Cricetulus griseus: one gene and its partner. The protein of the gene in region 1 purifies or fractionates together with the protein of each later gene. This does not show direct contact. Links are inferred from orthologs where the notes say so. Each region holds a gene or a part of one and is shown on either strand. Other genes may lie near its edges.

Region 1 (3,813 bases):
TGAATATAGCAGATAACTTGTCCTAACTATTCAGACTGAGGAGTTTGGGGCTAGCCTAAGCAACGTGACAGACCTCATTAAACACACCAAACAGCTGTCTGCGTAAGGCAGGTGTTGGAGGAGACAGAAATGCTAACAATCACCTAGCTGGACTGCTCTTTAAAGCCAAGTCATATGTCCCTCCCAGCATTTGCAGAGTACATTCTGATGGAACCCAGCCCAGACTATGCACCGATATTTGGGCTGATGCAGGAGAAAATTTACATCAGTAAGATTGTGGTTGAGTTCCTGAGAGACAATCCTCACGCCATCTATGAAGACCTAATAAATAAGATCCAGGTGAGAGCTTTGCCTTCTCTAAGAGGGAGGGGTTTGTATCCCCATATAGTATGGATGATGCAAGAGAAAACTGCATTCAGAATCAAACTTCCACCAGTAGAAGTTTGGTAGATTAATGCAACAAGCCTGGGGGTGTGGCTCAGTTGTAGAGTCCCTGCCTAGAAACCCCAATTTGGGTCTGGGGGTGTGCAGCTTTTGGTACATTGCTTGCCTAGCATACTTGAAATACTAGGGTCCACCTCCCCCAGTATTACAAGGAGGCAAAATATTAGAAACATCTGTTTTGTTCTTTCTCTCTCCCAAAGACCACTGTCCCTCCTTCTGCCCTTAACCTGAACCGGTTCACAGAGGACTCCCTCCTTCGCCATGCCGAGTTTGTGGTCAATCAGGTAGAGAGTTACAATGATGCCAAGGACAATGATGAGACACCCATCTTCTTGTCTCCGTGCATGAGAGCCCTGATCGGGTTGGCTGGGGTCACCCTGGGACAGAGGTAAGGATGTAGTAAGGATTGGATGGGAGACTTGAGACCAGAGAAGGCAGTCTGTGTCTGGTTCCCTAAAATGGCAGCCATCTCTCTCAGGCGAGCAGATAGACGCCGTAAGATCGATGTTTCTGCTAAGGAGAAGGACAAAGGGCCCACAAAAGCCACCACCACCAAGTTGGTCTACCAGATCTTTGACACTTTCTTCTCAGAGCAGATTGAGAAGGATGATATGGAAGACAAGGAGAATGCCTTTAAGCGTCGCCGGTGTGGTGTCTGTGAGGTGAGCAGGCCTAGCCACTCCCCTGAGCCATCCTTGGGTCTTCTTAGATGTATGTGAGGAGTCAGAACTCTGGACAGATGGGCTGAAGTAAACAAGTGTGTCCAGGGCCTTCGATGTGGGTGATGCCATTGGCTATATAGCCTGGTTTCCTAAGACACATTAGCTCTACCTCCATGTCCTGTGGGTGCTGAGAGACGGCTGACCCCAGAGCCACTCCCAGGCTGAAGTCTCTATCCTACCTAATTCTTCCAAGAGCTGGGTTTATAGACCTGTGCCACTATGCCTGGCTCTTGTGAATACTCTTCATATAGATGGCCTTGGAATCAACCTATGTCACATTAAAACAAAACTCAATGTGGGTAAGCTGGAGACGCAAGCCTGTGATCCAGGCACTTGAGAAGTGGAGGCAGGGGAGATCAGGATTTCAAGGTCATTCTCAGTTGCATAGTGAGTTTGAGGTCACCCTGGTCTACAGGAGACTGTTTGAAAAATTAACTTATATCCTGAACCATGGCCTGCATGTGCACATGTATTTTGTTTTTCAAGACAGAATTTCACTGTGTAGCTTTGGAGTCTGTCCTGGCACTCACTCTGTAGACCAGGCTGGCCTTGAACTCGGATCCCCCTGCCTCTGCCTCCCAAGTTGCTGCGACTAAAGGTGTGTACCACCACTGCCCAGTGTGTGCATGTGTATTCTGAGGCAGCTATGTAGACAAGGCTATCCTGAAACTGCTGATGCTCCTTCCTCTGCCTGCTGAGAGCTGGGCATCTAGGTACTGCACTGCCATGCCTAGCCCTGTGATGTCAGTGTCCTGACACCAGCTTTTGGGGCTCACCTTGACTCAGGCTGTAAAAGGGACTTGGGCATCCTGAGAGCTCTGAGAGAGACTTTTACATGTTAGTACCCAATGGACTGCTGGGGTTTTTAGAGGCTGTCACTCTAACCCTGTAACAGCTCAGGTTTCAATCTGTTTCGACATTCCCTGGGTGCAGTAGAACCTGGCTGGTCCCCATGCCGACAGTAGTGCTCAGCCTTTTCTCGTGGCAGCCCTCCTCAGGGTGCCCTGTCCTCATCATGCTTTGACTTTTTCTCGGTGTCCTGGTACCTAATGTGAATCCCTTTTAAAGTGAACAAGGGAGCTGGGTGCTTGGTAGCCCTTTTGTTACCTTGTTCTCATGCTGTTTTTGTTATTGGCTGTCCCCACTGACTCCTCAGTGACAGTTGGGGACATTGGTAGATGTGTAACAGAGCTGTTGGTGAGTTTCTAGGATACTCAGCACCCTGTGTACCTTCAAATACTCAGATGCAGAGGACCCTTCTAAGGGTACAGTGTTGGCACCTGTGCATATCTGTCACAGGGCCCTGAGTCATAGCTGGATGACTTGATACCTAACAAAGGTTAAGTCTGTGCAGTTGTCATGCTGTATCCCTTAGGGAATGGGTGGGAAAAATCTAAAATGCTCAGCATGGATGCAGTATGTCTTACTGGTGACGGTGTGCACACAGGCTGCTGTGTACATGTGGAGGTCAGAAGTAACTTTGTGGAGTTTGTTTTCTATGTTGCTGTGGGTCTTGGGCATTGAACTTGGCTTGGGAGGTTTGGCAGCAAGCTCCTTTACCCACTGAGACATCTCACTGGCCCTGAGCATGCATATATTTTTGAAAGTTTGGGTTGGGTGTGGTGACGCACCTTAATTCCCAGCATTTGTCTGTAGAGGCAGGAGGGTCTGAGCTTGAGGCTAGCCTGGTCTACATTGAGTTCTTCTAGGTCAGCCAGAACTATGTAGAGAGACCTTGTCTCAGAAACACAACAAACTCAAAGTTCCTAGTTATGAATGGCTGGTTGATCAACCCTTTTAATATTTTTCAGGTCTGTCAGCAGCCTGAGTGTGGGAAGTGCAAGGCCTGCAAGGATATGGTTAAGTTTGGTGGCACTGGACGGAGTAAACAGGCTTGCCTCAACAGGAGGTAGGCTGTGCTATGTTCCATTCTTCCGACAAGAGAAGCCAGGGCAGCTGGAGCAACTGTACTGCAGTGTCCTGTGGTGACGAGGTGCGGTGCGGAGCTGGTGGGCGGGATGCTTCTCCCTTGGGTTGGCAGTGGTGTATGTTCTGCAGGTGTCCTAACTTGGCTGTGAAGGAGGCAGATGATGATGAGGAAGTTGATGATGACATCCCAGAGGTGCCATCGCCCAAAAAGATGCATCAAGGGAAGAAAAAGAAACAGAACAAGGATAGAATCTCCTGGCTGGGACAGCCGTTGAAGGTAAGGCCTCTTCCTCTTGTGTGCTGCTGCGCCTCAGCCTAGCCCTGTAGCCAGGAAGCAGGTGCTACCCAGCTGCTGTCCCCTTCCCTCCCAACACTTGAGAGTGGAATGCAAGACCTCAGGCTGGAGCTCTACAACTGAGCCGTATCAGCCTCATTGGCAAATCTGAGCTGCCTTTGTAGCCTGGGCAGCCCATGTACTTGTACACTTCACGCCGCTCTGTTTCCACTTCAAGGGCTAAAGTTATAGACACATTATGCCACCATGTCAGGTTTGGGTTTTTTTGTTTTTTGAGATAGGGTTTCTCCGTAAGCTCTGCCTGTCTTGGAACTCCTAATGTAGACCAGGCTGGCCTCGAACTCCGAGATCTACCTTGCTCTGTCTTCCAAGTCTGGCAGAATCGGGTGGATCGGAGTTTGAGGCAAGCCTAGTCTACAAAGT
Region 2 (3,699 bases), on another chromosome or scaffold:
CCAAAATTCTGTTCATTGGCCCTTAAATGTCCTAACAGGTGTGACTACTTACTCCAAACAATTTCCTCCTGTGTCTTCCTTCTAGATCATTTCTCAGGATGAAGCAGACAGAAGAGGGAAAGTGTATGACAAGTATATGTGCAGCTTCCTTTTCAACTTGAACAACGGTACGTGCTAAGCTGGAGGCACTTAGCTCCTTGAACAGTGGTGTGTTCTGAGCTGGAGGCACTTAGCTCCTTGAACAGTGATATGTTCTGAGCTAGAGGCACTTAGCTCCTTGAACAGTGGTGTGTTCTGAGCTGCAGGCACTTAGCTCCTTGAACAGTGATATGTTCTGAGCTAGAGGCACTTGGCTCCTTGAACAGTGATGTGTTCTGAGCTGGAGGCACTTGGCTCCTTGAACAGTGGTGTGTTCTGAGCTGGAGGCACTTAGCTCCTTGAACAGTGGTGTGTTCTGAGCTAGAGGCACTTAGCTCCTTGAACAGTGGTGTGTGCTGAGCTGGAGGCACTTAGCTCCTTGGAGGTGGTTTGGGATCTGATTGCTGGCTGAGCATTTCAGGTTGGAAGTCAGCAAGATGCCAGGAAGGGGCATGTGTCTACAGGAACAGCTCCTGGGATTTTTTTATCACCAGGCCTAGGCTCAGGGATGTGTGAGGAGAGGGGAAGTCCCCATGGAGTAGAAGGGTTATATGCAGGAAACAAGGAGCCCCAGACACTCTGGCTGTGAGGGGACATTGTCTCCCCCACAGCTGTAGTTTGTCTTGTGTTCCCTGGGATTTGGGGGCTGAGTAGCTTCAGCACCCGGTTAGTCACCATCTCTGATCTGGGAGCACAGGCAGCATGTGGAAACCTTGTGGCCCAGGGTGTTGTCCACAGGTTGTGAGGAAAGCAGCAGCTACCTCAGCCAGGGTTGGTAATACAGATATTCAGAGAAACTTTCAGCTGGACAAATAGAACATGTTTTCTTTCTTCTTTATGAAAATGTTCCATAGAAATATTCTAATCTTAAATCTCAATATGCCTACTTCTTGATATTCACAGAAATTCGGCAGGAATCCTTTTTTTTTTTTTTTTTTTTTTTTAGGCATGTTTTGTTCAGCAACATATAATTGAGAAGTCGTGGCATTTGAGAGCCATATTTAGCCACCAGGGATTCATTTTAATGTAGAATAGTATTTTCTTCCAAATGTCATTTTGTATTGAATGTTTTATTTGCTTTTGAGGTCAAATCCTGAAGACCTGTTTCTAAAACCATAACAACTTTAGTCCATGGTTGCAATTAGTCACTGGATTGTTTTCTTTTGTTTTTTTAGATTTTGTGGTGGACGCAACCCGAAAGGGCAACAAAATTCGTTTTGCTAATCATTCAGTAAATCCAAACTGCTATGCAAAAGGTAGGCTTTTAGGTTGGCACTGCCAATTTGATGCAAAAAATTCCCTTTTTTACCAGCCAAGTGATAGCAGACTTCAGTATCTCTGGGGCACCTGCTGTGTGAAGTCAGTTACCCGCCATGGCCTGTCTTCATGCTCACCAGCCCCGTGTTTCTCCTTCCAGTTATGATGGTTAACGGTGATCACAGGATAGGCATCTTTGCTAAGAGAGCTATCCAGACTGGTGAAGAGCTGTTTTTTGATTACAGGTTGGTAAAATAAACTTTTAGTATAATCTGCAGGCTTTCCCTTCCTGTACTGTGGGCTGAGGTCAAAGGCCGTTAAGTTCTTTGCCTGATCTGCTGTCATTGGAGAGGGCATTCTTTGAACTGGCCAGTCATTGATTGCTGTGGACACCAGAAGGGAGTTAAATGCTCCTTCAATATAGGTTGCCATGTGTTAATTATATAATGCTTATTTGAAAAAACAAACCCCACGCAGGAAGCTGCGTTGAACTCCCGGCTGTTGATGACTGTGACCCCTGGGTCTTATGTCTCACTTCACGTCGGTATTCTAAGGCACCCTTTCTCATTGGTGCAGTTTGTGTATCTATCTTCATTGCTTTAATTGTTGTCGTTACCCTGTGGTCACTGTGGAATCTTTTTGGGGAAGCTAGTACAACTGACAGTGTAGAGCTCCGCAGGCAGGAGACAGGCAGGAGACAGGCAGGCTGGCAGTGTGTTCTACCTGGCTGTGGGACAAACATGACAAAACAGTTACTTAAATGTGGTCAAGTAAAGATATCTAGTTAGAGAATTCTTGTAACTGAATATCCACCCCACCTAGAAACTTTAGTTGCTGAAATGGGGGCCTGTGTTGCTTAGTTCTAGTACATTGTACTGTATAGCTGGAGAGAATTAAGTGAGTGACACCTGGGGATTGGAATAGGGTCCTCATGCTGTGTCTCGTGCATGCTCTCAGTGGACCAGGGTTACAGGCAAAGGTGTCCAGCTTCCTTAGTGATGGGACTTTCCAGATCTTAATTTTGCTTTTTCAGTATTAGACACAGACATCACAATGTGGAATTGGCTCAGTAGAGTGCCACAAAGGCACAGGGAGGGCTGTGGGACTGAGGAGTGACAGTTGCATGCTTCCTCTTCATGAATGCAGCTGAGTGACGGGGTCTGCGAGTTGTCATGACATAATCCTCTCCATCAACAGGCTTGGTTTTCCTAATATTGGACAGTAGTCACTTCTTGTTCATGTTGTTTCAGATACAGCCAGGCTGATGCCCTGAAGTATGTGGGCATCGAAAGAGAAATGGAAATCCCTTGACATCTCCTACCTCTTCCCTCCTCTGAAACAGCTGCCTTAGCTTCAGGAACCTTGAGGACTGTGGGCAATTTAGAAAAAGAAAATGCAGTTTGAAATTCTGAATTTGCAAAGTACTGTAACAGTAATTTATAGTAATGAGTTTTAAAAAATCAACTTTTTATTGCCTTCTCACCAGCTGCAAAGTGTTTTGTACCAGTGAATTTTTGCAATAATGCAGTATGGTACATTTTTCAACTTTGAATAAAGAATACTTGAACTTCTTGAGTCACTTGTCATAGAGCGTCATCAACTGATTCTAGAAAGACTATATTCAGTGGGAAAACACAACTTAGCTTTGGTTTTCCAGTTGTCTATGATAAACATATTGGCATTGTGTTTGCCTAGATACAGTGATACCATTGCCTTTTAGTCTTGAGTGAATGACACTGGTGTGGGTCCTGGGCATTCATCGGGGAAAGTGAGTCAGCTTGTTACCCAGGAAAAGTTGTTCAACCTCCAAATCTGCTGTCCATATGTAAAATTGTGGTGTCTGAGCCGCGACTAAGTCCAAGTATCAGGCAAAAGCCTGGAGATTTAATTAGAAGAGACGTCTGGCCGCTTGTGCTATGTGCGTCTGTCTGACTTTATTCCAGGGGGAGAGCTGCCTTATATACACTTACAGCACAGTGGAGAAACCCCAGGTGTAAGAGTGAGTATTTTCCCAGGTATAGTTGATGCTAGTGGGGCGAGGCTGGGGCTGTAAGCCAGGACTGGAAAACAGGATGCACCTGTGGTTATTGGCCGACAAGCAACTCAGAGACCCTGTGGGGGCTGGGGCCCAACATCTACCCCTTCCTTTTTTTTTTTTTTTTTTTTTTTCTTCTCCCTTTTTATGTATAAATTAACGTCAGTGTTAGGTGACCAGGATGTTGATGCAAACCTTACCCGTCAATGCAAAAATCACCCAGGCTGTATGACTCTGTCTTAGGTTGGCTGGCATGCCCTTGGTCTCAC

Evidence for each region.
Region 2: the proteins of Dnmt1 (region 1) and Ezh2 purify together in Homo sapiens (affinity purification with western blotting; 6 studies listed by BioGRID and IntAct, with this or other methods). This does not show direct contact. The link is inferred for Cricetulus griseus from reciprocal best matches to the Homo sapiens genes DNMT1 and EZH2.

What each region holds. Positions count from the first base shown.
Region 1 is NC_048597.1:133,788,256-133,792,068, reverse strand, and holds part of Dnmt1 (DNA (cytosine-5)-methyltransferase 1), read left to right. Parts: intron 1-187; coding exon 188-339; intron 340-644; coding exon 645-832; intron 833-922; coding exon 923-1,106; intron 1,107-2,977; coding exon 2,978-3,075; intron 3,076-3,224; coding exon 3,225-3,372; intron 3,373-3,813. UniProt on the Homo sapiens protein: Methylates CpG residues. Preferentially methylates hemimethylated DNA. Associates with DNA replication sites in S phase maintaining the methylation pattern in the newly synthesized strand, that is essential for epigenetic inheritance.
Region 2 is NW_023276806.1:222,414,112-222,417,810, forward strand, and holds the end of Ezh2 (histone-lysine N-methyltransferase EZH2), read left to right. Parts: intron 1-85; coding exon 86-167; intron 168-1,313; coding exon 1,314-1,394; intron 1,395-1,555; coding exon 1,556-1,640; intron 1,641-2,645; coding exon 2,646-2,706; 3' UTR 2,707-2,970; downstream 2,971-3,699. UniProt on the Homo sapiens protein: Polycomb group (PcG) protein. Catalytic subunit of the PRC2/EED-EZH2 complex, which methylates 'Lys-9' (H3K9me) and 'Lys-27' (H3K27me) of histone H3, leading to transcriptional repression of the affected target gene.